Cricetulus griseus: one gene and its partners. The protein of the gene in region 7 interacts with the protein of the main gene of each other region in a pairwise test. Links are inferred from orthologs where the notes say so. Each region holds a gene or a part of one and is shown on either strand. Other genes may lie near its edges.

What was found.
Region 1: the proteins of Sat1 (region 7) and translational activator of cytochrome c oxidase 1 interact in binary tests that used the Homo sapiens proteins (3 or more experiments, as listed by UniProt). The two-hybrid records come from large-scale screens. The link is inferred for Cricetulus griseus from reciprocal best matches to the Homo sapiens genes SAT1 and TACO1.
Region 2: the proteins of Sat1 (region 7) and Nif3l1 interact in binary tests that used the Homo sapiens proteins (3 or more experiments, as listed by UniProt). The two-hybrid records come from large-scale screens. The link is inferred for Cricetulus griseus from reciprocal best matches to the Homo sapiens genes SAT1 and NIF3L1.
Region 3: the proteins of Sat1 (region 7) and homeobox protein Hox-B9 interact in binary tests that used the Homo sapiens proteins (3 or more experiments, as listed by UniProt). The two-hybrid records come from large-scale screens. The link is inferred for Cricetulus griseus from reciprocal best matches to the Homo sapiens genes SAT1 and HOXB9.
Region 4: the proteins of Sat1 (region 7) and Ccdc148 interact in binary tests that used the Homo sapiens proteins (3 or more experiments, as listed by UniProt). The two-hybrid records come from large-scale screens. The link is inferred for Cricetulus griseus from reciprocal best matches to the Homo sapiens genes SAT1 and CCDC148.
Region 5: the proteins of Sat1 (region 7) and Tcf25 interact in binary tests that used the Homo sapiens proteins (3 or more experiments, as listed by UniProt). The two-hybrid records come from large-scale screens. The link is inferred for Cricetulus griseus from reciprocal best matches to the Homo sapiens genes SAT1 and TCF25.
Region 6: the proteins of Sat1 (region 7) and Kcna4 interact in binary tests that used the Homo sapiens proteins (3 or more experiments, as listed by UniProt). The link is inferred for Cricetulus griseus from reciprocal best matches to the Homo sapiens genes SAT1 and KCNA4.

The regions. Positions count from the first base shown.
Region 1 is NC_048600.1:119,001,248-119,005,421, forward strand, and holds the start of translational activator of cytochrome c oxidase 1, read left to right. Parts: upstream 1-1,374; 5' UTR 1,375-1,575; coding exon 1,576-1,846; intron 1,847-3,807; coding exon 3,808-3,914; intron 3,915-4,174. UniProt on the Homo sapiens protein: Acts as a translational activator of mitochondrially-encoded cytochrome c oxidase 1.
Region 2 is NC_048595.1:412,841,755-412,845,254, forward strand, and holds part of Nif3l1 (NIF3-like protein 1), read left to right. Parts: intron 1-1,114; coding exon 1,115-1,253; intron 1,254-2,688; coding exon 2,689-2,772; intron 2,773-3,500. UniProt on the Homo sapiens protein: May function as a transcriptional corepressor through its interaction with COPS2, negatively regulating the expression of genes involved in neuronal differentiation.
Region 3 is NC_048600.1:109,428,850-109,433,056, reverse strand, and holds the start of homeobox protein Hox-B9, read right to left. Parts: upstream 2,801-4,207; coding exon 2,284-2,800; intron 1-2,283. UniProt on the Homo sapiens protein: Sequence-specific transcription factor which is part of a developmental regulatory system that provides cells with specific positional identities on the anterior-posterior axis.
Region 4 is NC_048599.1:115,769,225-115,773,330, forward strand, and holds the start of Ccdc148 (coiled-coil domain-containing protein 148), read left to right. Parts: upstream 1-1,306; 5' UTR 1,307-1,811; intron 1,812-4,106.
Region 5 is NC_048596.1:200,061,730-200,065,229, forward strand, and holds part of Tcf25 (transcription factor 25), read left to right. Parts: intron 1-523; coding exon 524-616; intron 617-745; coding exon 746-851; intron 852-3,082; coding exon 3,083-3,242; intron 3,243-3,500. UniProt on the Homo sapiens protein: Component of the ribosome quality control complex (RQC), a ribosome-associated complex that mediates ubiquitination and extraction of incompletely synthesized nascent chains for proteasomal degradation.
Region 6 is NC_048599.1:70,439,945-70,443,834, forward strand, and holds Kcna4 (potassium voltage-gated channel subfamily A member 4), read right to left. Parts: upstream 2,466-3,890; coding exon 501-2,465; downstream 1-500. UniProt on the Homo sapiens protein: Voltage-gated potassium channel that mediates transmembrane potassium transport in excitable membranes. Forms tetrameric potassium-selective channels through which potassium ions pass in accordance with their electrochemical gradient.
Region 7 is NC_048604.1:90,683,124-90,687,075, reverse strand, and holds Sat1 (diamine acetyltransferase 1), read left to right. Parts: upstream 1-1,152; coding exon 1,153-1,218; intron 1,219-1,474; coding exon 1,475-1,526; intron 1,527-1,644; coding exon 1,645-1,728; intron 1,729-3,156; coding exon 3,157-3,258; intron 3,259-3,351; coding exon 3,352-3,392; intron 3,393-3,645; coding exon 3,646-3,816; downstream 3,817-3,952. UniProt on the Homo sapiens protein: Enzyme which catalyzes the acetylation of polyamines. Substrate specificity: norspermidine = spermidine >> spermine > N(1)-acetylspermine. This highly regulated enzyme allows a fine attenuation of the intracellular concentration of polyamines.

The DNA of each region.
Region 1 (4,174 bases), on a different chromosome or scaffold from region 7:
AATGGAAGGTGAGTAGGCTAATTATGGTCATACTTATGTAATAATAAAAATCTGTGCCCATCACACCCCCCATCCTGCTTGTTCTTCTCAAAGTCATTATATATGGAGGGAAACAGAAAGTAAAGCAACTTGCCCAAGGTTGCACTAGTAAATGGCAGAAACACAGTTTGAATCCATCCGGTCTAACTTTAGAGAGCAAAACTTCAAACCGCCTTAACATTGTCCTGCTTTTCTAATGAGTTAAGCTCTTGGGACTTAATTCACCCTGGGGATCTCTTACAGAGGAATTCTGCAGCTGCTACTTCGTTTTTTCTTTCTCTATAGCGTCCCCTTCCTCTAATTTTCTCAGTCAAGACAGCAGGTGGAAGGGGCTGGAGAGATGGATAGCTCAGCAGTCAAGGCTATTGGTACCTCTTGCAGAGGACGAAGGATCAATTCCCAGCACCCATGTGGCAGCTCACAACCATCTATAACTCCAATTCTAGGCTATCTTGATGTTCTCTTCTGGCCTCTACAAGGCACCAGGCACACAGACATACATGCAGGCAAAACAACCATACGCATAAATTAAAAATACTTAAAATATTTTTTTAAACAACAGATGAAAAATTAAGATAGCAGTGTGACTCAAGGCTGGCCTGATCTTTTGTTCTTTCCCCCAAACCTTTCGATTCACCTGACTCTGTCCCCAAGCCATCTTCTTGGGTTTAGGAGCCAATCATGATTACAATTGCTGCTTACATACCGTGTTTGTTTGTTTGTTTGTTTGTTTGTTTGTTTTGTTTTTCCAAACTCCAGGGTTTTATGCTGTGTTTTCAACTATCCAGTATGGGTTGGCAAAAGCAAAACAATGCCATCCTTGTTTATAGAAATAAAAATCTAAATCATAAAGTCTGGTCAAATCACTTCTCTGGCTGATGGCTAGGATTTTTAAAATAAATACATTACTTTTTTTGTTTGTTTTATTTTGAGACAAGGTCTTGGTGTCACGACCCTTCACTCTCCAAGTGCTGGAATTACACACATGAGCATTTACTCCCGGCATTTAGGACTGTTTTGTTTGTTGTTTCCTTTTTTTAAACAGGCAGCCTTGGCTGTGGTTTCTTTGCATGCAAAATGAACCGGTTGAACGACATATTTCTTTTTGAACAACGAAACATTTATTATTCTGGACTTGTTTAGAATTAGGAAGGAAAATCAGTCACACAAATCTCTACTAGTTCACTGGAAGGAAATCTGGCGTCTCCAAGCAACCGGGAGCAATTGAGGTCTGGGTCACTCCTGGCAGGGACAGGGTTAGGGCGAGTAGGAAGATGAGGCGGAACCGACTTTGCAGGCGCAGGGGACGTGTTTTGCAACGGACAGGGAAAGGAAGTGTACTGCTCCAAAAAGGGTCTCCATGCCCGGCGTCCGCCGGTCCTTCACAGCTGTGCTGCTTAAGTAGATCTGAGCCTTGGGGTTTCTGGAGACCCGCAGAAGCGGCCAGGACGTCCTGACCGGCTTGTTCCGGTAACAGGTTAGACAGTTTGACCTTGGCCGCTCCTCTTTGCACTTTGCAGCCCCTGGTCGAAGCAGATGATGTGGTGGGCTGCTGTTAACCTGAGAGGGACGGCTGCCCGATGCTTTCGTGCGCGAAGCCTCGGGGTTCGCGTGGGTCCTTGGTGCGTCTCCCAGCAGGAAAACCCCGGCTGCGGCCCAACTCCACACAGGACGCTGCGTGTCAGCGCGGCGGCCACCGCGGGACACAATAAATGGTCTAAAGTCCGGCACATCAAGGGCCCCAAGGACATGGAAAGGAGTCGAATCTTCAGTAAACTCACTCTCAGTATCCGCCTGGCGGTTAAAGGTGAGAACTTGACAGTCCTCACTGCTGATTACTGAGGCCCTTTCGGTGCCTAAGGCTTCCCTTGTACCCCTAAATTGGACTAGGACCGATTATTTCCTTTGCGTTTTCCAGTTGCTATCGTTGTCCTACCCTTAACTGTCAAAGCACCCGCCTTCAGTGGATATTCCTGTTTTCCTTTCCAAAAACTTTTCAAAGACCTGCCCTTAGGAAGATAGAAACGCCTCCATCCAAGTCTTTAGTTAGATAGGTACTAAACAGAAATAAACCTTAAGAGTCAAGTCAGGGTTTGGAGAGATGGCTCAGCGGTTCCCAGCACCCACATGATTGCTTAAAGCACCTGAAACTTCAGTTCCAGGGTACTCAACATTCTCTTCTGGCCTCCTCGGGCAGTGCATGCATCATACATGCAGGTAAACACAAAACAAATCTTTTTTTAAAAAGGCAGGTGTATGTCTTTCTTGAAGGAATAAACCAAGCCTTCTGCAGCCACTTTTACTACTCCTGAAGGCTGTGGCAGGCATGCTGAGTCAAGTTATTTCTTGCCTGGGCTTCATTTTCCCTCATTGGAGCTCCTGAGAAACTTTCTTGGCAGGTCTGTTTGGAACCATGTATCTGCTTGGTGGTGCAACTGTCTTCCTTCCTTCCTTCCTTCCTTCCTTCCTTCCTTCCTTCCTTCCTACCTTCCTTCCTTCCTTTTCCATTTTAGTGTCTGTGAAAAGTGTGGGTCTGGAGTCAAGAAGATATGAATTCTTTCATTGACTAGGTTGCTACAAAGCCTTTCAAAAAGTGACTTAACTACTGAATTTCAGTTTTCTGTAAAGCAAGGATAATACCCACCTTGTGGTGGCTGACAGCATATAGAAGGTATTAATCGACAACTGCCTGATGTTTCCCTTTGCTTCCTCTCCTAACAAATTTTGATTTAACCAACATGTTATTTTGATCTCGGAGGGGATACTACAAAGAACACCCAGTGTAGCCCCTACACTCAGAGCCTGAGCATGAATCCAATGTCTTGTGAGCATGTCAGACATTATGTACTAATAGAGTAAGAGCAAGGATGTTATTATGATTCAACCACTTCATCTGACACAAGTAGTTTGCTGGAGCCTAGCAAAATAATAACTATCCCTAAGGGGAGAGTGAGTTGGGAACTTCTTTTCCAGACTGGGTATGAAGCCCCATGGAAAAGAATAGTATTTAGCATGGATAGGCCTTGGGCTCCGTCTCCAGTATCCCCCACCAAAGCAACTTCTTTCCCAAAATACTTCTCCTTCTTCCAATGTGAGACAGACTCTCGCTGTTTTTTTCTTTTGTTTTTTTAAAGACAGGGTTTCTCTGTATAACAGCCCTGGCTGTCCTGGAACTCACTCTGTAGGCTAGACTGGCCTCAAACACACAGAGATCCACCTACCTCTGCCTCCTGAGTGTTGGTATTAAAGGCACCGTGCTACCATGTCTGGGCAGAATCTCACTCTTAACTGAGACTGACCTAGAATTCATTATGTAGTTCAGGCTCCTGCCTAAACCTACTGCTTTCTGGAGCTGGTTTGTGCCTTCCTCCTTTGTGTGGATCCTAGGGATTGGGCCCCAGGTTGCTAGGCTTATGCACTTTTACCACCTTCTGTCTGGTTTTATTTTTTTGATTCAGGGCTCTTATTGGCCTAGAATTTACCACATAGACAGCTGGCTGACTGAGAGTCTCAGGATCTGTTTCTGCCTGCCTGGTTCTAGGATTATAAACTGGTGCTGGTATTTTCTTGTATATGGGTTCTATGGATCAAATTCAGATCCTTTGCTTGCAAAGCAAGCACTTTGCACACTGAGCCCTCTTTGTTAGATACTGCTTTCTAATGGAGAGTAATTTGCCATTGTTTTGGGGTTGGAGAGGCTGGACATTGCTTATTTCTCCATACTAGGATGAGATAGATGTCTTTGATCATTCTTTTCCCTTTTTCCAGAGGGAGGCCCCAACCCCGAGAACAACAGCCACCTGGCCAATGTCTTAGAGATGTGTCGAAGCAAGAATATGCCCAAGTCAACTATTGAGTCAGCACTGAAAACAGAGGTGTGTCCTCAGGTTCATGTTGTTATTATTGAGCACAGCCCTGAGGTCCATGTTTGGAAAGCCATGGAAAAGTCCTTAAATTATCAGAGAGAAGGGTAGGAACACGGTGGGAATTCTATCCTTGCATGGAGACCCATAGAGGGTAGAGCTGCATTGTCAAGCTTGGAGAAGATAGGGTAGAAAGGACAGGTAAAATTGGGGAAAGCCCTGATATTAGGTTGGAGAAGGGCTTGCTTCTCAGATGTTTATGTCTAAAGGAG
Region 2 (3,500 bases), on a different chromosome or scaffold from region 7:
TCAGGCTTCTCCCTATCTCTTGGCTCAAACAGTAAATTTCCTGGTGTTCTTTTACTCTTCAAACTACATTTTGTATTTCTTTTTGCCCGCTTGCTGGATTTCATTGTGGATGTGCATAAGAGTAATAACTAGTAACCAATTGACAGACTATATTGAAATCTCCTCTAGCAAAATGTTTGATTTAGTCTCAGGCAGATTTTTAGAACAAGAGCAGAAAACAGCCACATTCTTTGCCACATATCACAAGAATAGTCTCCCCAATCAGTGGTGGTGCACACCTTTAATCCCAGCACCAGGGAGGCAGAGGCAGGTGGATCTCTATTGAGTTGGAGGCCAGCCTGGTCTACAGGTCCCTCTGAAATCTTCTGAGCTGGGCTTGCTCTGTCCACATTGCTCACATCTTAACATCACTCTATTTTTATCTCGTTTCTGGTTTTCTTTAAGTTCTAAGTGCCAGTAAAACCAAAGATTCCAGTCGCAGCTCATTTATATGTATAATTTTTTATTTTATGTGTAGGAGTGTTTTGTCTGCACATATGTGTGTGTACCTGGTATAGACAGTGCCTATGGAAGTCAGAAGAGGGTGCTTGATCACTTGGAGTTACAAGTAGTTGTGAGATGCCATGTGGGTGCTGGGATCCAAACCTGGGTCTTCTGCAAGAGCAGCAAGTGCACTTAGTTGCTAAGCCCTCTCTCCAGTTCCATTTGTCATTCCTTTATTTTTCCATAACAGTAGCACCTACCTTGAATTTAAAACTTAACTTTTGATTATGTGTTAAATATCTAGCAGGGCCAAGCTGTGGTGTCGAATGCCTTTAATCCCAGCACTATGGAGATAGAAACAGGAGGATCTCTGGATTCAAGGCCAGCCTGGTCTACAGAGTGAGTTCCAGGACAGCTGGAACCCTGTCTTGAAAAACAAAATCAAACAAACAAAATATCTAGCAGGGTGTGTGTGAGCTCTCAGAAGTTAGAATGCTTTTGTTAGATTTGCATCCTAAACTTTAGTTTAAGCAACCACAGCTTATGTACATTAATCTTACTGATTCCAGTTGTTGTATACATTTCTTAGGCCTGGGGATCGATAATGTTCCTAACTTGAGTTTCTCTTCAGCCTTTGCTTCTGGATACTGGAATGGGACGGTTGTGCACACTGGATGAATCTGTCTCCCTGGCAACAATGATAGAGCGAGTTAAAGGATACTTAAAGCTTTCTCATCTTCGCTTAGCTCTTGGAGTAGGGAAGACCTTAGGTAAGTGTCTTTCATCGTCTGCAGATCTACTGTGACTTTGGACAGATTTTGGTTTTGGTTACTTTTGACACCTGATCTCATAGAGCATAGAATGGCTTCAAACTCCTTTTGCCTCTCTCTTTCTCTCAAGTGCTGGGATTACAGGTGTGTCCTACTTTTATTCATGTAAGTGGTAAGAAAACATGTTAGCAGCTCAGGGACATAACTGGTTTACTTTGTCAACCAGGGTGGGCTGGGCTGTAATGTGGAATACATCTCCCGAGCCTAAATGATAAAACTTATTTCTTAGTTTTCTGGGTTCATCTGTTCATCTCCAGTCAGCACTAGAAGTATGTTAATTATAAACTGGTTATTGTTGCAGTGGGAATAGAGTGTTTTAAATCATTAGGTAAAAATTCTAGACTAGGATGCAGTCCACACCTTCTAGTACCTGGCAGAAGCAGGTAAAGCTCTGTGTTTGAGCTAGATCTAAAAAAGTGAGTTACAGCTAAGACTACACCCTGAACTCCTGTCTTTAAAAAGGAGGAAAGGAAGAGTACCTAATATATGTGTAACATACTGCTTTTCTATTTTTTTTTAAAGATTTCCTTAACTTGAAGTGTTTGTGTGTATGTTGTCAGACCCCCTGGAGCTGATGACAGGTAGTTGTGAGCCACCAGATATGGGTGCTGGGAACCAAACTTGGGTCCTCTGGAAGAGCAGCAAGTGCTTTTAAACTGACCATCCATCTCATCTGCTCTGCATTTCCCTTTCTTTAACATGCCCTCTTGCACTGTCTGCAGACCCAGCTGAGGTTTGTTGTTAGCACTGAGGCAAAGCTGGGGGTGCAACAAACACTGCTATTACTCAAGACTTAGGGTTTGTGCAGCTGCATCCAAAGAACAATGCCCTTGTCTTGTGTTCTCTGTGTGGTGCCAATGATGGATTTGTTTGCCTCAATTTAAACATTGTATTTGGAGCTGGGCATGCTGGCGCACATGCCTGTAATTTGAGCATTTGTGGAGCTGAGACAGGAAGGATCACTAGTTTTGCTCAAGTTCAAATTTTGGCTAGCCATGAATTTAGGGTTATCCTCACACATCCTGGGATTATAGGCATGTGCCAGCACCAGGCTCCTCCCGCTTACCACTGCCCCCGCCCCCATCTCTATCTCTATTTAGGTTTTTTGAGACAGGGTTTCTTTGAGAAACAGCCCTGGCTGTCCTAGAACTTGCTCTGTAGACCAAGCTGGCCTCGAATGCACAGAGATCGGCCTGCCTCTGCCTCCCAAGTGTTGGGATTAAAGGGGTACCCCATTATACCCATTTTTAAATCAAGACAGCATAATTCATATACTGGTGGAGAGACAGGGTTGGGATTTGTAGTACAAGTTGTAGTGTTAAACTGAAAGAGGTTATGTCTCTCTATAATAACACCTCTTGCTTTTGTCTTGAAGAATCCCCAGTCAAAGTTGTGGCCTTGTGTGCTGGTTCTGGGGGCAGCGTTCTACAAGGAGTGGAGGCTGACCTTTACCTCACAGGTAGGACCATTTCTGGATCTCTCCCTCAACCTTCCTTTATTTCTTAAACATTCAAAACTAGCAGATTCCAGGGCTGTGCCTGGCACAGGTTGAAGTGTAATCATAGCTTTTCCCCTTTCTTTTCTATGTTTGTTTTTGCAGTGCAGGATGTTGATCCCAGAGTCTCCTGCATGCCAGCAAATATTATTCTACCAAGCTATACTGCCAACCCCTACTACATTTTTTGAACTTGAACGAAACAGGAATCATATCAAATTGAAGATATACTGTGTCTATAGAGGGGAGAAATTACTGGACAATCCATTAGTTTCCCCTCCAAAATGATTTCAGTTAGTATTTCCTTAACCACTTTTCTTAGATTTCATGTTAGCTAATGAGATGCTTCTACCTTGTTACCTGGGCTGGAGGGAGGTTCCTTTTGGCTCAAAAGCTAGGTATCAGTTCTATCAGGTCAAGTTCTGAAATCTTTCTAGAACCTTCCCTTATCTCTCTACTCAAGCATATATCCTACCTGAAGTATTGCATTGTGCCTCCAAAGGTCCCCCAAATTAGTTTTTATTGTTCTCTTTGGAGGTTTTATTTTTATGTAGAACTCAGAAGACAACTTTTGGGAGTTGGTTCTCACCATGTGGGTTCCTCAGACTGACCTTGACTTGTCAGCTTGAGGGCAAGATGGCTTAGCCACTGAGCCATCTCACCAACCAGCCAAGGTCTCACTGGGTAGTCCT
Region 3 (4,207 bases), on a different chromosome or scaffold from region 7:
TCTCCAAAGCTTCCACTGCCCCAGGCAGGCTCACAGCCTTTTTCTACTTGTATCCAAACAAACCTGGACTCAGGTCAGTATAGCTGAAGCCACACTACCGGCTAAAAGTGGCTGACCTTGGCTCTAGGTCTGGGAGGAAAGGGGAAGAATTGGGTTGACAAGGGAGTCCTGTTCAGCCACAGCCAAGAGATCTCTTGGCCCTTCAGCTCAGTCCCAGGAAACCCTGCCCAGATAGCCATCTCTCAGCTCTAGGCCAGGAGGCAGCAGACATGTGAGTTCTGAATAGATACCCCCTCCCCATCGCACACCACAAATAAGAGTTCACATTTACAGCCAGGAACACCCAGCACACTCCCAACTCACAAGAAACCCAATTGCAACCATTTATCAATTGCAGCCAGTGGACAGGGGAGCCCCGGGGCTCCCAGATAACTTATGGTGGCAATAGCCTCTTCCTTTCTGCTGCTCAGCTCAGAGTTCGGTTAACACAAGTTCAGGGAAACTGGGAAGCAAAATTGCTCCAGCCCCAAGGTGGGGAGACAGAGCTGAGGAGGAGTAACAGAAAGTCCTTTAGGCTTAACAAGCCTTCTAACTGACCCTGAGGGGAGACAAGAGAAGAGGGGCAAAATCAGGAAATAATGTATACAGGCTTTTCTTTTTTCTCTTTCGCATCTCTCCCTGGACCCCAGGACACAGAAAAGTTGCTCCCCAAAAGCGGAGCCTATTACAAGTAAGATCCCCCTCTACCAGCTTCTCCCTCCCCAAGTGAAAAGCCCTGAATGTCTGTGTGTATTTTAAAATTCAGTTCATCCTACACTAAGTAGCGTGTCTTACCAATTTGCAGCGCTATTTTCTTAATGTGATTGCCTGGGATGGGACCCGAAGCCACATTAAATATGAAAGAGGGGGGGAAACTGTTAATAATTGATCCTAGCCAAACGGCTGCTGTGCAATAATGGGCTTTCCAGGCCGAGTTTGGGGCCATGGGGTGAGGGCTCTGTTTGGGTGTTTGCAGGAGGTTTGGGAAGAGCTGTGTTCCCGGATATCAGCTCCTAATGACTCAACCTGGCAGGTTGGAGGTATGGGGATTGCAAAGGCCTGGGGCGGGGAGGGGGGTGCAGAGTCTCTCCTTACTTTTCAGAGGGCAAGCATGCCCCCAGAGGACCCATTGGCTACTCTTTTGGTGGGAAATCTGACAAGGCAAGCAAGAACTAAACTACTTGTCCAAAGGAGTAAGTGGTGAGGAGTTGACCTGTCAATCTGTCCATAATTGTTTGGGAACTAAGAGCCCCCAACCGGTTTGTTTTTCCCACCTTTAAAAAAACGACAAGTAAAAGAATCCTCTCAGCCAGCATCGCTTTCCGCACGGGGTTTTTAGCAAGGGTGCTTTTAGGAATGGGAGGTGGTAAGAAACTCTCCGCTAAGGGTAGAGTTCTCCGCCCCTGCGCAGTCTCCCCCCACCCCTCCCCCGGGTCCCTTCGGGACGTCTTCTTTTCCATTCTGGAGGTGGGCCCTGACTTTAGCAAGTGATTCCCAGACTCTCTGAGAGGCAGACTGTCCCCGGCTAGTGCTCCAGAGCCCCGCGGAGGGGGTTGGGAAACGCAGAGGCAGAAGCGGCCACCCTGGCGAGGATGCCCTAGGAGGGCGGGGGATCCTGGAAGGAAGGCTCCCGGGGAGGGGCCGGCGCACCCGGGAGGGGGCTCGGTCACCGCATCCTGGGCTTCCCCCGCCCCTCCCGGCGCCGGCTGCCGACCCGACACGGCTACTGCGTGAGATCTGCTAGGAACAATCCTCAGCCAAGCTGTTGCATCGCAAATAAAATCCTAATGAGCCCCCTCCCCCTTCCCCTTGGCCGGCGGGGACCGTCTGCGCGTGGCTCAGGCGGCTCTGCCGGGTGCGCTCCGGCCCGTGCCCGCGAGGGCTCTGGGCCACGCTGGCCACCGGCCCGGCCCCCTCGCTCCTCAAGCAACTGTCGCAGCTCTCTTTCCCCCTTTCCAGCCGAAGGGGGAGAAAGGAGGAAGGACTAGAGGATTGATCCCTGAGGCTCAGTCCAGGCGCCACTAGGAGGAGTAGGGGTGGCCTCCTTGTCCCCCTCCATGGCACACAGCTTCTTCCTACCCAGGTCCCTTCCTTCCTCTTCCTCCACCCCCTCTAGCCCTGCAGCCCCCGGCGCGCTGTCCCTCCACATTGTCCGCTTTATGGCTTCTCTCCTCCCCTCCCCCGGGCCTGGCCTGCAGCCTGGGGGGGGATTTCCTCACTTTTTTTTTTTTTTTTATAACTTACTTTGATCCGGCCTCTCTTTGTCCTCGCTTCCTTCGCAAATTTTATTGTCCCCGTAGCCGGCTCTTTGATTAGACAGGACAGCCTCCCTGCCCGCCGAAGTTTCCAAACTGTACTCGGGCGTGCCCTGTTTGAGCAGCTCCCCCGGCGCGCCCAGCAGCGGCTCCGCCTTCACCGCCGCCTGGCCCTGCCCCGGGGTGGCCTCGGCGCGCGGCGCCGGCTCCAGCCAGGTGCGGAGGTACCTGCTCTCTGCCGCCGGCGCGCCCTGGGGCTGCAGGTAGGGGTGGTAGACGGACGGCAGGCTCCCCGACGCGTGCGGGCTCAGCGGCGCCCAGGAGGCGCCGAACACCGGCGCTTTGGGCTGGAAGCTGCACGAGGGGAAGTCCAGGTGCTCGGCGTGGCTCGGCTGCCGCGGGTTCGCGTACTGGCCTGAAGGAAACTTGGCTGGAGGCGCGTCCTCACTCTCGTGACTTATGATCGAGTCGACATAATAGCTGCTAAGCGTCCCAGAAATGGACATTCTCAGACATTATCCGCGCGCTCGCAGGGGGAAGGGAAGCGCTCGCGCCTCGGCGCCCAAGCAGGGAGAGGTGGCACACGGACCCGGTGTAGAGGGCTTTCGGACGCGACCCCCCCAGACCCCCACCCTCCCACCCCACCCCCTGCTCAACTTCTCAGCCAACAAAGTACAGTGGAGCAGCCCGGCTCGGAGCTCCTTGCAAAATGATTGGTCAAAGTTTTGCGGACTGCCTGATAAAGCGTCAGCTCCGACATAAATCAATCGGGCGAGGGGGCTGCGCTCGCGCTGTCATCCGTCCTCACCGCATTCCATATCCAGGATGGATTGTTTTATGCTGATGCAATGTGCTATCACGTCAGGGCTCCGGCGGCCACGTAACCTCAGCCAGAGCTGCCGGGCCGCCCGGGGCCCCTCCCGCTTTTGCAGGAAGGGGGGTTCTCAACATGGGGCGATGGGGGCGGAGGAGAGGCGGAGGCAAGCAGCGGGCTTGCCTCTGGAGGGATGATGGCTGCGGAGCCCTCTCCCCAGGCGGGTTAGAAAGGGAGGGGAGGAGGACCAGCATACTGGGAGAGAGAGCGCCCCAGCCTCAGAGCAGCGGGAGAGGCCCGACAGGGTAATTAAAGAGGAGGTAGTCTTGTCATCCCCCAACACCTCCACCTCCACCCCGCAGGCCCTCATTTCCTGTCCTCTGTCCCCTTGACAGAGATGTTTATTAAACAACAGCAGCACAGCGACCCACAGGAGAGAAAGTAAAGGGGTGGGGAAGAAGTTGGGGGTTTTATAGGACAGTTATCCTCTTTGGAGGGGAATCAGGGCACAATTTGGGGAGATTTACATGACTAGGCTCTTCTCTTGATCCTCCAGGAGCTCAGGGAGGAGAAAGGGAATTTCAGTGGAACCAATGTCCAAAGACTCACTATCTGGCCTGAAATTAGAGCCTGCCTCAGGCCAAAGGGACTAGCCAGACCCCGTAGCTAGTCTACGAAAGAGTTTCACGGGACTAACCAGTCTTATTTAACTCCCTGACATTTCTTGGGCCTTTATGAAGGGTTGGGTCCACGGCCATTTCTTCTGTCCTTCGTCCAGAATCCTCTGAGACCGTAAAACTGTCCAGATGAGGAGGCCAATGTGAGAAATGATTAAAGGAGCTCTCCAGAGGTAGGGAGAGGGTCCCCAAACAGCACAGTAAGCGACACCCGGTTACTTTCCTTTTCCATCCAAAAAGGGAAGGAGGCAAGCTAAATTCTTAGTACTTGTCCAGCTCTGGAAGATGTCCAAATGCCGACATAGGGCAGTACCAAGTACAGCGGAGTCCCCAGAACCAGTCCGTGTCCCCCACCCGCAGCCTTCCCCCCTACAATCCTCTGGTGGAGCTTCCAAATAGTGCATTTTATTAGCAGCTATTCT
Region 4 (4,106 bases), on a different chromosome or scaffold from region 7:
CCTTGGCTACACTGACACCCAAATTCACGGTCCTGGAGACCAATGCAGCAAAAACCCAGAACCATTGCTGAGCCCCAAGAAACTACCGCGCTCCCCTCTCCGCCGCCCTCTGCCGCAAGGAGAGAAGCGGAGACAGGACAGTAAACGAGGCTCACCAGCTCTGAAGATGCTCCGTGACCTCTGGCTGCGCGGGGAAAGCAGGGCCGGGAAGGCGCTAGTGCGGCCGCGGCCCGCGCGGACTCTGTCCCTGGTGCATTCCTTGCATTCCAGCACAATCTGTCGCCAGCCTACGAGCTGGCAGCGCGCGTCGCCCGTTGGACACACACACACACACACACCTGCCTATCACGGCACCCGGAGCAACCGCGGCGCCTCCGCTGCCTGCGCTCGCGGGGTGTCGCACTCAGCCACCACACCGCTAAATCCCGGCCCCGCCGCTGGTCCCCTCGTTTCCCAAGGAGCAGGAGGGGACAGGGATCCCCCGATCCTCCAATGGGTGCAGCGGCCCCTCTCCAACTCCTGGCAGCCCGAGGAGGCAGGGCGGTGCGGGAGGGCGGCCCGTAGCCTTGGGGCTGGGGCGCCCGCGAGGGAGGAGCGTGCGGTTTGCAGCCGAGAGCTGGGAGCCCTGGACCTGCCGTGCGGTCGCCACGAGCACCAGTACGGCTCCAAGGGCCAGGGCGATACGCGGGGCGGGCGTGGGAGGCAGCGGTAAGCGGTTGCTTCTGAGGAACGAGGGACGGACCCACAGACGGCTGGCTCCTGGCGCGACGGCGCGCGGGAGCCGCGGGGCTCAAGTTCGGGAAGCGGTGCTGGAGGAGAAGCGGCCGCACGGAGCCGTGCGGGGCAAAGTTGTGCGCCGCCGGGGGGAGGGGAGAGGCGAGCGGGATGGCGGAGCACGCGGCGGGGACGGAGCGACTGGGGCCAGGGAGCCGCGGGGGGCGCCCGGCCGTCGCCAGGTCCCGGCTCGGCGCGCTCAGGGCAGCTCGCACCCCGGAGCCCCGCGCCCTCTCGCCAGCAGCGCGCACTTACTTTCCAGCTCAGGCGGAGGTCATCGTCGCTCCAGGAACCAGGGACATCCGCGCCGAAGGGTCGCCGCTGCGGCACCGGAGCAAACTGGCAGAAGTGCGGCAACCGCGCCGCTGCCCGCCCCTCCCTCCCACCCGCCCCCTCCCCGAAGAGGCTCTCCCACCACCCGGTGGCGGCGGCAGCTCGCCTCTACCCCGTGCCCATAGTGCCGCCGCCGCGGCCAGCGTCCACGCGCACTCAGCCCCGGAGCCACTCAGACTGCTCGGAGGCCGCCGCCCCGCCGCCAGCCCGCCCGCCCGCCCGGCCAGTCCAGGCACCCGGGAACGTCAGCACGCCGCCGTCCCCAGACAGGCTGCGCGCCCGCCCCATTGGGCGGAAGGAGAGGGCCGGCCCTCCCCATTGGCCCGGCCCTCATATTGAACGAGCCAATGGGAGCTGCGGTTTCAGGTCACCATGGAGACCGATGCTGTTAAGAGCGAGAGGGCCAGGAGAAGGTGGGGAGTGAAGATGAAGGTGTCTGTGGCCTCCGGCGCAGGAGGGGGCGTGGGGGAGGAGTATTAGGGGATTCCCAAACTAGAGCTCTGGAGTCGGGCGGGTCTTGCTTTTGACTGTTGCCAAGACTGTGCATGGTAGGGCTTGTCCCTGGCGTCAAAGGCAGAAACAACTGAGCCCCTGGACTTCTGCTTTACATTGAGAGTTCAGGAGTGGGCGTTTCATTTTTTTTTTCCTGCATCTGGGGAGCCTGCCAGGCTATGCCCTTTGACCTTTGACATCTGTGCAGCCCGGTGAGTTCCCCTCCATTCCTTAAACCTCTGCTTCTTCCTGACGTCACAGGGTCACTTGAATTCTTCCAACCACTCCCCCTTCCCTGAGCTGGATATTTCTTCGGATTTTTGGTTCCTCAAGCCTATCACCCCCCCTTCCCAAGAGAAAGAGGATTTCTTACCAGAGGTATTTTGGTAAAGCAACTGGATGGGATTGTGCCAAAGATCAACCCACAACAGAATGAGTTAGTTCTCTGCTTCCCAAAGCAGCAAGTCACTGATCTCCCCCACCCCTCTTGTTCTGTGTGTTTTCTGCACTGAGCTTGGCAGGTGCAGGTTCTTTCTAGTATTTCACGGACTGGAGCAGTGCCAGTTTCCATCCTGATGATTTTGCAAAAGAAAAGAAGAAAAAGATTACAAATGATGGATTATTTTTTGCTTTCTATTTTCCAGATTATTTCTAAATTTGATAAAGAAATGATTAATTGGGACATGGAATCAGTACTCACCCAAAATCTTGACCCTTTAGTGATGAGTGCTCTACTTCCACTTAAATCATTTTGTGCTAGTTTGCTTGTACTAATTATTTTTGATGAGTGATGATTCTAATTAGATACTACCCATTAATCTGGAACTTTTAGACATGATACTACTTTTAAGCATATATAACATGATACTACTTTTAAGCATAATAACAATCTAACATGATATATTTATCTTCCATCTTTTGGTGACTTTGTTATTTTCATAATATTCCCTTTAGTTAAAAAAAATCATGTTTATGCTACTTTCCCTAAAAATAAAGGACTATATTAATTTTTTCTTGTTATATTGTATGGGAAAATGATAGGAATTTTGAAATTACAAATATTTTGCTGAGAGAAACAGATTACTGTGTGTGCAAGCAACATGTATCTAACTTACATTACATTTTAATTGGATGGTATGTTTTACTGTTGGTTTTTGTTGTATAAAATATATCCTAAGAAATGTTAATATGGCGTCTTGCTTGGGAAAAAATATCACCTTAGTACTTATTGTAAACTTGAATTTGACTGTCCTATGCAGGGTTGGACTGTGGAACAAAATAGGTAAGCCTATGAATATATCACTTAAATATTTTAGAATTAGGGTGGAAGCAGAGAGCATTAAGGTTGGAGATATCTCATGGTTTGTCTTTTGGGAAATTAGCAGCTTTTGAGTTTTTCTTGGTTTTGTTGTTTTCTTAATGTGTGTTTCTTTATAGGAGAATAGAAAAACGTAAACTTTGAAGGTCTATAAATGTAAGACATTTTAAATGTATAGTCAAGATACCAATAATTTATTTTTTAATTTAAATAATACAGAATGATGGCAAAAATGGGTGTCTCACTTTTTCCTTTGTCAAAAGAAGAAAAACAGAACCAATTTTACTTCTAATGATCATTTTCTTTTGTATTTTTCTCGAAACATATATCTGAGAAGTATTTTCATATTGTTTTTATGTGTGCAATTTACATGTCATTTCCATTTTCAGTAATTAAAATGTTGCTGAAACCTAACAGGAGTAATGGATGTCCCTAAATCAGTTGCCATTCAACATTATTTTTTTCTTGTTATATTTAGTGGGAAAAAATTTGAACTTTTACTGCTAAGCAATGCTGGTTAAAGTAAGAAAACACTTTGTTCCACTAAGAGTTGATGCTACTCAGAACCTGTCTGGCTCCTACATTCCTTCCACCATCAGGATTGTGATAACTAGGACTGTCTCATACTCCAGAGGTGCTACTAAACACACAGAACTCTTGCGAACAGGATTTTTCTCTGTTGGGTTATACTTTCTCAGATTACCTTTTATACCCGCTCCTCCCAAGCTTCTCCCTTAGCCTCCCAATATCTGGCCTTTTATGGAACCGTGTTGCTTATCCTCCCTCTCTATCTGCTGGCCTTTCCTTTCACCAAGAAGCAGAACCAATGGGAGGCCACCATTTTTTCTTCCCAGATGCTTTGACTCTTGAAGTTGTTCTAAAGATGGTTCTGTCTCTCTGCAAAATCACAACTCATTTGGCTAAGTTCTCACATATAACAATGTCTTTTGGACCAGGAGTGGGGTACATGCCTATAGGTGCAACACTTGGGGGCCAGAGGTGGTAGTAGGATCCTTATGTACATAGTAAGTTTCAGGCCAGCCTTGGTGGCTACATGAGATCCTGTCTCAAAACATACAAATACAACTTTGCTTAAAACTTGGCAGGATTTGTAGTCACTGGAAAGGGGGGGGTCTTTTTTGAAAAGTTTTTATTTTTATGTGAATAAATTTATTCACTAGAAGACTTT
Region 5 (3,500 bases), on a different chromosome or scaffold from region 7:
AGATTTTGCTAGATGTGGTGGCACATGCCTGTAGTCACAGCACTGAGAGGTAGGAATCAATCAGTTGAGGTCATCTTTGATTATGTAGTAAATTTGATGCCAGCCTGGGCTACATAAGATCCCCTCTTAAGAAACCAGAAAAGGAAAAAAAAAAAAAAAAAAGAAAGAAAAAGAAGACAGGGGTTTCATCACATACTAGATAGTGGCACCTGTGAACAGATTTGGCATTCTGAAGTAGGAAGATCTCTTGAGCCAATTTATTCAAGGTCAGAGTTGGCAGCATAGTCAGACCATGTCTCAAGACTGGAAAAGCTTGATTTTCCTGTCTAAGTACATTCATAATTAAATAACAAGGAGCACATATTTCCTCCAGACATGCAGGCAATATTCACAAACACGATTATATCTAGCCATTCAGGAAATGCTGTCTCAACCCAGAGAGTAGACACAGTGCTGGGCCTCTTAGTTGTCATGTTCTGCTGCTTTTCTGTCACTAATTCATGGGTAACTGTCCTTGATCTAGGAGCTTCTACCTGGCCCTCTACAAGCAGATGAGTTTCTTGGAGAAGCGAGGATGCCCACGTACTGCACTGGAGTACTGCAAGCTCATCCTGAGGTGAGTATTCACTTTGACTGCATGGCCACCTGTCCCCACCACAGTGATCCCAGATTTGTGGGGACTCCAGCCATGACAACACTTCCTCTGTCTCCCTTGTTCTCCACTTAACTGTGCTGCCTCCGGAAGCCTTGAGCCAGATGAGGACCCCCTGTGCATGCTGCTGCTTATTGACCATCTGGCCTTACGGGCCCGGAATTATGAGTACCTGATCCGCCTCTTCCAGGAGTGGGAGGTATGTGTAAGCCATGTGCTGTGACTTGCAAGTGCAGCTGTGTGTCTCCCTTACCTTTCTTATCCACACCCTAAGTGTTTGAGGGACAGTTTTATGATAAGATGGTGAAGGCATGAGTCAGAGCTCAGGTAGATCCCAAGGGTCCCCTTCTTTTCTGGCTTCCTTGTTATCTCTGCTGGATAAGATCCAGTCTTCCTAGAGGGTGTCCAGCAGCCTTTCAAGAACCCCATTTCACAGGTCTACACCAAGTACATATGCACAAACAGTGGTACTAGTAGTGATGAAAAGTTGGGTTAACCCCAGAAGTCACTGTGTCCGTGTAAGAAGCAACCATGAGCTGGACAGTGGTGGTGCACACCTTTAATCCCAGCACTTGGGAGGCAGAGGCAGACGGATCTCTGTGAGTGTGAGACCAGCCTAGTCTACAAGAGCTAGTTCCAGGATAGCCTCCAAAGCCACAGAGAAACCCTGTCTGGAAAAAAAAGAAAAAAGAAGTAACCATGAAGTAAAGCGCCATGTGGGGTGACATAGGGAACCTCAGCATACAGACCCACATTCTGCAGAAATGCTGGATAGACAATCATAAACCAGTCACTTGTGCCTTGCCAGATTTACATGTAACTAAAAATGAAGGATAGCCTGACACCACACTGCTGCCATCTGGCCCAGCCGCTGTGAATGCTAAATGCACCTTGTGTGCCAGACAACACCAGAAAAAACATAACTGTCTTGTCCATGAATGTGGACATGTGTTGAAGTGACAATTTCAGTTTATTGGGCTAACCACCATGCTTTAAGATCAGTTCTGCCATTCTCCATAATGCAACTGCTAGACAGTGTAAAGAAGTACAGGACTCCCATCCCATCCCATGGTTGGTTCTTGTCAGAAAAGAGAGGCATTGGGTTTTGTGCTGGTTGCTTCCAGCAGGACCTAGTAAGGGAGAAAGGTGATAAGCCTGTGTTTTCTGTTTCTACTTTTGAGTGTTTTTCACAGTGCATATTTTTCCATTATCAAAAAAGAGATAAACCTTTTTCTTTTTTCTTTTTTTTTTTTTTTTTTTGTTTTTTGTTTTTTGTTTTGTTTTTCAAGACAGGGTTTCTCTATGTAGCTTTGGAGCCTCTCCTGGCACTCTGTAGACCAGGCTGGCCTTGAATTCACGGAAATCCACTGGCATCTGCCTCCTAAGTGCTGGGATTAAAGGCGTGCACCACCACTGCCCAGATGAGATAAATAATTTAAGTACATAATGTTTGATATAGTTGGCCAGGAAATTTTGCTTTTTGGGATCTGATTTATAGAATCCCTGGAGCTCATGAAAGCATGGCTACAGGAAATGCCAAAGAGGGCTGCAGGTGAGTGATCATTATGGCTTATGTGGTTGTAGAATAAAACCAGTTATTGTAGGGGACAGGGCAGGGGCAGGTACATTGGCTAACTAGCCTAGATAAATTGATGCTCTTCGGGTATGGAGAAGAGATCTTGTCTCAGAGCATGAAGGTAGAGAAGCAGAGACATGGCTTAGCAGGTAAAGGCACTTGACACCAAGCCTGATAACTTAATCCTTAGAACCTCATAGTGTAAGGAAAGGGCTGACTTCCGCAAGCTGTCCTCCGACCTCTACACATGTGCCATAGTGTCCATGTATACATATACATACATACCAAATAAATAGATAAGTCAATGGTTTTTAAAAAGCTAAGAAATGAAATCAATCTGTAGAACAATTGAGGAAATACGCCCAGTATTGATCTCCAGCCTCAGCACTCGTGTACATGTGTGCATGCACTTTTCATACACGATAGAGAAGACATAGAACAAGTCACTTGTCTTCTCACAAACCATAGAGAAAGAAAGGGAAGTACTGGAAAACACTTGTAGGTTAGGTGGCATCAGATCTCACTTTTGATGACTTCCTTTATGAGCTTTCTGCATAGGCAAGAGGGCTGACTTCCCTGCTTCCACAGCTGCAAGTCTAGGCAGCGGACATCCATCCTTAGTGACTCTGAGGCTCCTGCCTCCTGCTGTACTATCAGTCATCTGACTGAGCTGATTCCTACCCGTCTGTGTCCTTCTGTGTTTTTTATATGTAGAAAATGGATTTTCTTCATCCCAAGTTAAGTTGAAAGGCCCACAAGGAAGCAGTTGTAGGACTCACCTGGCATCCGGTGCAAACTATGTGTTTTGTCTTCACAAGCTTAAGGTCTGGGCTTTGTTTCTTCATCCATTATAGGCACATCGGAACCTGTCGCAACTCCCAAATTTTGCCTTCTCGGTCCCATTGGCATATTTCCTTCTGAGTCAGCAAACAGACTTACCTGAGCATGAGCTCACCTCTGCCAGGCAACAAGCTTCCCTCCTGATACAGCAGGCACTTACCATGTTCCCTGGAGGTAAGTGCCACCTCTTGTCTGGGGAGGTAACTTTTCTTCTTTCTTGGGGATTGAATGTAGATCCAGCCCTCCCCATACTTAATGGAAAGATTGCATTCCCTTAAAGGCCTTAAAGACTTGCTGTAGTTCTAGCTAATCTACCCACTTCTGTGAGCCTACTACAAGTCTGGTAAGGAGGGAGGGACAAATGTCTTCTCTGGAGTTTAGTTTCCGGATGGAAGAGTAGAGCATTTTCCAGAGCACACTGTATGTTAGATG
Region 6 (3,890 bases), on a different chromosome or scaffold from region 7:
CCAAAGACATAGGAGATGTTATTAAAACACTGATAAAAGACTGCTCAAATTCATCAGTTCTTACATAGTAAATACTTCAGAATGCCAACTTTTCCAATCACAGCACAATTCCCAACAATGTTGACAATTTACTTACACACCCGTGTGCACACACACTCTAACACACACACACACTCTAACACACACACACACACACACACACACACACTCCTCAGGACCATCTTTACTATTAACATCTTTTCCCATTATGTGCAAAATTCTTGCATTCTATTAAAAAATATAAAGATAAATCTGCTCTATTTAAGCCTCCCTCTTCTCCAAGATGTATCATTTATTTGATATGCAATACAAATTTAGTCACAATTATGCCGTGTATTACCATTAAACAGTGTACTACTGTATGCAGTGCAATCATTTGCATATTTCATTTTCATAACTGCACTCTCTATGCATGAATATATTTGGAGATGTGGGGAGCAGTGGCAGGTGGAGAAAGCGCTTCACACATCGGTCTCCACCGCTTTTGCGTTAGAACAGTTGTTTTTATCTGTCTCGCTATCATCCCCCTTTCCCTGACACTTCTCTTCCCTTCCACACAAAGATTCCTTGACCCCTTCTTCCATCTCTAGATACTCTGACTTGTCCCCTAGGGATGAAGAAGTTGAACTCCGAAATTTCTTGAGCAAATTAGAAGGGAGGTATGGGCAACTGACTGCATTTTGTGTCAGCTGGGTCTGTTCCTCATTTTCAGTCTCTCTGTGGTAGAAATAGTTAAAGTTAGACACAATCACCGGCACAGGCAAAGCAATGGTTAAGACACCCGCAATGGCACACAGGGACCCCACAATCTTTCCTCCCACTGTGATGGGCTTCATGTCCCCATAGCCCACAGTTGTCATGGTTACCACAGCCCACCAAAACGCATCCGGGATGCTTTGGAAATGGGTAGTGGGTTCATCTGCCTCTGCAAAATACACAGCACTGGAAAAGAGAATGACCCCAATGAAGAGGAAAAAGATCAGAAGGCCCAGTTCCCGCATGCTGGCTCTGAGGGTGTGGCCCAGGATCTGCAGGCCTTTGGAGTGTCTGGAGAGTTTGAAGATCCGGAATACTCGAACTAGACGAATGATCCTGAGGATGGCAAAGGACATGGCCTGCTGCTGCTGACCATTGCCACCTCCTTGCTGCTGGGCCAGATCAGTGCCCAGAGTGATGAAGTAAGGCAAAATGGAGACGATATCAATGATGTTCATGATGTTTTTGAAGAAGAGAGCTTGGCTGGGACAAGCAAAGCATCGAACCACGAACTCAAAGGAAAACCACACAATACACACTGTCTCCACGATGAAGAAAGGGTCATTGAATATTGTGTGCCCTGAGTTGTCCAGGTGGGGTGCCGATGTGTCATTCAACAACCTGCTGTGCCCACCTGCACTCAGGGCCATGATGAGATCCCTATCATCCCGGAACTCTGGCAAGGTTTCCAGGCAAAAAATGACAATGGAGATTAAGATGACCAGGACAGATACAATGGCTATGCCCCTGGCAGGGCTAGAACTCTCCGGATATTCAAAGAGAAGCCAAATCTGTTTTTTAAATTCGTTCTCTGGCAGAGCCCTGTCCTCCTCTTCTCTCACAAAGCCCTCATCCTCCCGGAACTTGAGCAGGGCTTCCTCTCCCAACTGATAGAACTTCACCTCCTCAGTGAAGATATCAAAGGGCACATTGACTGGCCTCTTCAGACGGCCTCCTGACTGGTAATAATATAAAATGGCGTCAAAGCTGGGTCGGTTCCTATCAAAAAAATACTCATTGCGCAAAGGGTCGAAGTACTGAGTCCTCTTCTCAGGGTCTCCCAGCAGAGTTTCTGGAAACTGGGCCAAAGTTTTCATTTGGGTTTCAAAGCGTAGACCGGACACATTTATCACCACACGTTCACAGCAGTCACTGTAGCGGACTGAACTGTAGCCACCACCACCTCCATCATCCTGTGGCAGCAGGTCTGTGTACGAACACCCATCCCCATGGTCATCTTCACTATAGTAAAACCTTCCCTCCTCTTCCTCCTCTTCTTCCTCCTCCTCGTCTTCCTCTTCCTCACTCAGCTCCCTCAGGATCTTCTCTTCAGAGCCACTGGGCATCAGGTCTGAGCAATGAGGAAAACTGCTCTGCCGATGGTGGAGTTTCTTCTTTTCAGTTCGCTGACGCCTCCTCCTCCGACTACCTCGGCTACCTTGAGGATCATGGGAGGAGTAGGCCCCACGCATCTGGTGGTGATGGTGGGGACCGCCACCAGAACCCCCAGTACCTTCCACAGCAGCCGTGGCAGCTGCCACAGCAGCAGCTGCAGCTGCCCTGGAGTGAGCAAGTCTCTCCCGCTCACGGGCCCGGGCCTGGGCGGCATAACCATAAGGCATATGACTGTTGCACCCTGAGCTCTCTGCACTCACCATTGCAACCTCCATGGTGGTGGTTTTGGGAAATGGCTAGTTCCAGTTGTAAGAGAAGAAGAAAGAAAAATAGGGCAGCTTATTTTCTTACCAAATTAAGGTAAGTTTGGAAGCCTTAAGCAGATTGCCTGGAAGACTTAGGATATTTTCAGTACAACTTTGCATTTTCTGTTTTTAAATCAGCACACCCCATGCTCCTTCTTCTCAGAGATTCAGCGTTGCTTTCCAGAGCTTGGCTAGTCTAGACAACAGCCTAGTGCTCCTCAAACATAAGTCATGAAATGTTGCGGTCTCCCAAACACCTACGTGTTTTGGGGTAGATGTTCAAATCTGGAAGTATGTCTGGGATGCGCTGGGTGATGACGCTACAAGACTCAAAGGCAGCAAGTATCTGACAGCCAGAAGTTGTGCCTAGAAAATGAAATATAATTTTCTGCATGGAAATTGTCCAAAACCCAGTCCATCCAATTTAAATAAAATGCAAATAAGTCTTTAGTCTTAGCACTTGCCGTGTAGTGTTGGCTTGACCCATGTTAAGATGTGCCTTAGAATATGTCCAACCATTGCTGCTCAGTCTATGAGGAAGATTTCCCAGGCTCTCTCTAAGATCATCAAAGGCTTCATGGACCCACAGACAACGCCAAGTGGTAGATAGAGGCAAAGACCTTGGAAGGCAGAGAGGGTGGAAGATGAGGCTCCAGCAGAGGCAAATCCAGCTCTGAGGTCTCCATAGAAATCAGGAAATGAAGAACATTCTTTGGCTAACTCATTCAGAAGAAGCACTTCACCTGAGGAGGGGTGGGAAACAAGCACAGGAGAAAAATAAAAAGAAGCAAAGCATAGAGAGCAAACAGCCCTTTACTCTACACGCACGGCTTCTCTTGTCCTCAGGCCAATTGGGAGGCACACACCAGGAGACCATAACTTTTCAAGAGCACAGGGCAGGCTGCTCTAAAATCTCTCCCACTCAACATCCATCTTGCTTTCTTCTTTGTTTATTAGTTCAGCTCCGTCTATTTTTTTTTTTTGTGGCAACTCATTTGCTTCTGTCCATTCTCAACCCACATGGTTCTTGCTTTTCTCTGCCCCTTCACCAATGCCAGGTTTTAATTCTCACTAGCATCCTCTTCATTCCACAACAGCAATGCTGTGAGTTTACAGCTGTTTCCATTATTCATTTATCTCAAGGAATTCTCTTTCAATTTTTTCACTCATAAAATGTTGCTGAATTAAGCACCCTTAAAAAAACAATTTTCTTCAGTTTAGATTCAAACTACTTGAATGAACATCAGTTACCTCATCTATAAAGTGTAAACAAGAGAATCCATTCCCTCCACTCCACCTTTGGAAGGACCAACTGAGATCATGGATGCTATTAGGATAGCACACTATCTTGCATATAATGAATGGCAATGAATATGACAGTTATGGATAACACAG
Region 7 (3,952 bases):
GAAGTAAAAAGAAAATACTTTACAACTTTAGTCATTGGACACTGGTTCTCAATCTTCCTAATGCTGCGACATTTTAATGCAGTTCTTCATGTGTGGTCGTCCCCAGACATAAAATTATGTCATTGCTACTTCATATCTGTAATTTAGCTGTTATGAATTGTAATGTAAATATTTGTGTTCTTAGGTGACCCTTGTAAAAGGGTTGTGCGACCCCCAAGGATTGTGACCCACAGTTTGAAAACTGCCGAACTAGAAGGAAAGAAATTAAGGAATCCTAAGATTTGATCTTAGGGAATTAGAGAAAATACAAGAAGATCAGGACATGGTGGTGCATGCTTTAATCCTCACACTGGGGAGGCAGAAGCAGGCAGATCTCTGTGAGCTGTGAATTCTAGGACAGCCTGTTGTACATAGAGAGTTTCAGGACAGCCAAGGCAACACAGAGAGACCCTGTCTCAAAAACAAAACAAAAATGCAAATACACACACATTCCTTTAGTCATGAAAACGATGACATCACCACATAGCAATGAACTGCCTGTGGAAAATTACAACAAAAGGGGAAAAAATTACACCTCCCGATCACACTTTGAAAATGGCTAGAATAATCTTTCTGTCATCCTCAAAAGTCAGGCTTTCTGAGTTTGCTTTTCTCAGCAATGTCCGGGGGTCACAGGGGCAATCCGCATTTTCTATTTACAGAGGTTACTAGGGCACACTCGGGCACTCACTCATAGGCTTCCTGGAAGGATCCCTGAGGCGCCGCTAGGGGACGCAAGGCCTTGATAGCGCAGTGGCGCACCTCGCCCTGTCCCGCCCTCCCGGTTTGCGCCATCGGTTTCAGGGTCACGAGAGAGCCCGGAAGAGGGAGGTGCTCCCGCGGGCTCGCAGCCTTACTGGTTGTGATCGCTCCATCTCACGGTCCCGAGGAGGAGCTCCAGCGGACTTAAAAGGCAAGGTCTTGCCACAACTTAGCTGCGCAGCTTCCCAAAGCAACTCTCCCAGTTTTCTGTCTAACACTGAGGTTCGCCGGGTCATGGTGCCAGCCTGACTGAGAAGAGGACGCTCCCGGGAGACGAATGAGGAACCACCTCCTCCTGCTGTTCAAGTACAGGGGCCTGGTGCGCAAAGGGAAGAAAAGCAAAAGACGAAAATGGCTAAATTCAAGATCCGTCCAGCCACTGCCTCTGACTGCAGTGACATCCTGCGACTGATCAAGGTAGGGAAAAGGCCCGGCTCTCCTTAGGGCGGAGGGTGAGGGAGGTTCCGTTTCCTCGGGGAGTTGATATCTTCGGTTCTGAGATGTTGCCCAGTCAATAATTCCCTTTTCTCAGCCCGCCAACCCCAGCCCGGGTCAGGTCCAGAAGTTCCATGCCAGTCACCACCGGACCCCGCCTACCCCATTTCCCCTTCTGTGAGCTGGCAGGGCTGGACAGGACTTTCATTGTCCTTTCTTTTATATGTATCATTCCCAGGAACTGGCTAAATATGAATACATGGAAGATCAAGTAATGTTAACCGAGAAAGGTAACGAAGTCGTGGCGGGGGGGAGGTGAAGTGGGGAGAGTGGGGCCTCAGGGAGGCAACAAGCTGTTACCTGACACCTACAAAAGTCAACACTGTCTCCTCCTCCCCCATTTTACAGATCTCCTAGAGGATGGTTTTGGAGAACACCCCTTCTACCACTGCCTGATTGCAGAAGTGCCTAAAGAGCACTGGACCCCTGAAGGTAACCCCTTCTTCCTGTCCAGAAGCCAGAGAGAACGAGTGTTGTATCAAAACCGTAGAGTCTACTGTACAGAACCTGTAACTACACGGGCAGAAGTTACTGAGAAGCTGGTCAGAAATAACAGCCAGCCAGTGTGCAAATGACTGAGGAAAAAGAAAATGTATGTGCAGTACTTTATAATAGGGCGGGTTAAGAGAGCTGTTTAAGCAAGTATCAGAGTGCTGTGGAAACCCGGAAGAGTTAGGTATAATGTCATTTGTTGTAATTCAGTTTCATAAAAATGGTTTTTGTTTGACCCTAACCTAATCTTTTTTTTTTTTGTAATTGTGTTAAATCACATTTTTTTCTTTAATTTGTCCCAATCCTCAGGTTACAGTCTCTAGCTTCGCCATGTACATGGCCCTTCTGTGTACATGGATGGGCGGGGAGGTAACTAAAAGATCCTTTACACAATAAAGTAGATGATCATGATAAATGAGGTAAGGTCCTATTATCGCACACTTAAAACATGGTAGATCAGAAACTTATATTCGCTTCCTGTCTGTTTGCAAAGAAATAGAAAATGGCTAGAAAGTTTAATTTGCAACCATTGCCTCCGTTTGGAATTGAGTTGACACTCCTTTTGAGGGAGTCAATTTTGAATTGGTTTTATTTTTATTTTTATTTATGTATTTCTTTTTTGCTGACCCTTGTTGACTGGTCAGAAGAGGGCTAAAAGGGGAAGTTGCTTGGGTGGATGATTTCTTCAATTTTCTTCTGACGTCTGTTCCCGAGGCTAGAATGTAATAAGAACACCCAAGGGATAAGCTGGCTTTTAGAAGTAAGTGGGTGTTACGTAACACTGGATTCTTGTTACTGCTACTTCTCCTGCCTTAAAAACTTGGGAAAGTAAATTGAAAATTTATGCATGGGAAGACAAGTTCTGAAAGTAAACATAGTACTTTTGGCCTGGTGTTCTGACCTTAAGGAAGCAAGAGTTGGTAAACTACAAATATTTCCTCTTCTAAACTGCTGTGTAAACCCAACTTTTGCCAAGCTGACATACCAGTATGTCATCAGGATGTGAATAATGTGTGTGTTTAGTTTAAGTCTGTGGCAATTTTGCTCTGGCAAGTAATGAAAGTGTTCTCATTTCCTGAGTGTGAGTCCAGCAGACTGCAGACTAGCCAGTCCACAGGTGTAGCCTAGCTTCAGCTAGCTCTAATGTGTGCTTTTTGCAAATACATGTCTGAGACCAGAGAGATCGTCCATCATCGGTCTGCACTGTACTAGCATAAACATGAGGAGGCAGTCCAGTTCATGACTACTTGTTTCCATGATGCATGCACGTGTATTTTCTTACAATCTATGATAGGCTTCTGTTTCTGCCAATACAGCTTGAATGGTTTGCTTTTTTTCTCTGTATCTCATGGGATACTCTTATTACAGGACACAGCATTGTTGGTTTCGCCATGTACTATTTTACCTATGACCCATGGATTGGCAAGTTACTTTATCTTGAAGACTTCTTTGTGATGAGTGATTACAGAGGTACAATTGAATTTGGGATTGGAGGCAGTTTAAAGAGAAATCAGAGCCTTTGGCCTTAAAATGACTAAGCTAAATTGTATTGCTTTCTTTTAGGGTTTGGCATAGGATCAGAAATTTTGAAGAATCTAAGCCAGGTATGTTCACTAGCATTTCTTTGTATATCCCAGACTGGCCTAGTATTAATATGTAGCCCTGGCTGGCCTCAAGCTTGTCTCCACCTCCCTAGTGCTGGGATCATAGTTGTGGCCCATCACATACACCCAGGTGTCCTAGATTTAGGCTTCTGAATTTGTAAGAGTTATTGGGTTATTGTAATGAATGAATCAAAATTGGGTCTTGGCAAGCGGGTGAAATGTCACTGGGCTTATGTTTTCTCTCTTGTACTAGGTTGCCATGAAGTGTCGCTGCAGCAGTATGCACTTCTTGGTAGCAGAATGGAATGAACCATCTATCAACTTCTACAAACGAAGAGGTGCTTCTGACCTGTCCAGTGAAGAGGGATGGAGGCTCTTCAAGATTGACAAAGAGTACTTGCTAAAAATGGCAGCAGAGGAGTAAGGAGTGCCTTTGTAGACAATGACAACCTCCATTATACTTTAGAATAAATTCTCAACTTATCTTGCTCTCTATCTTGTTTGTAGTGAAATAATAGCATGAACACCAATTCCAAAGCTTTATTACCAGTGGCGTTGTT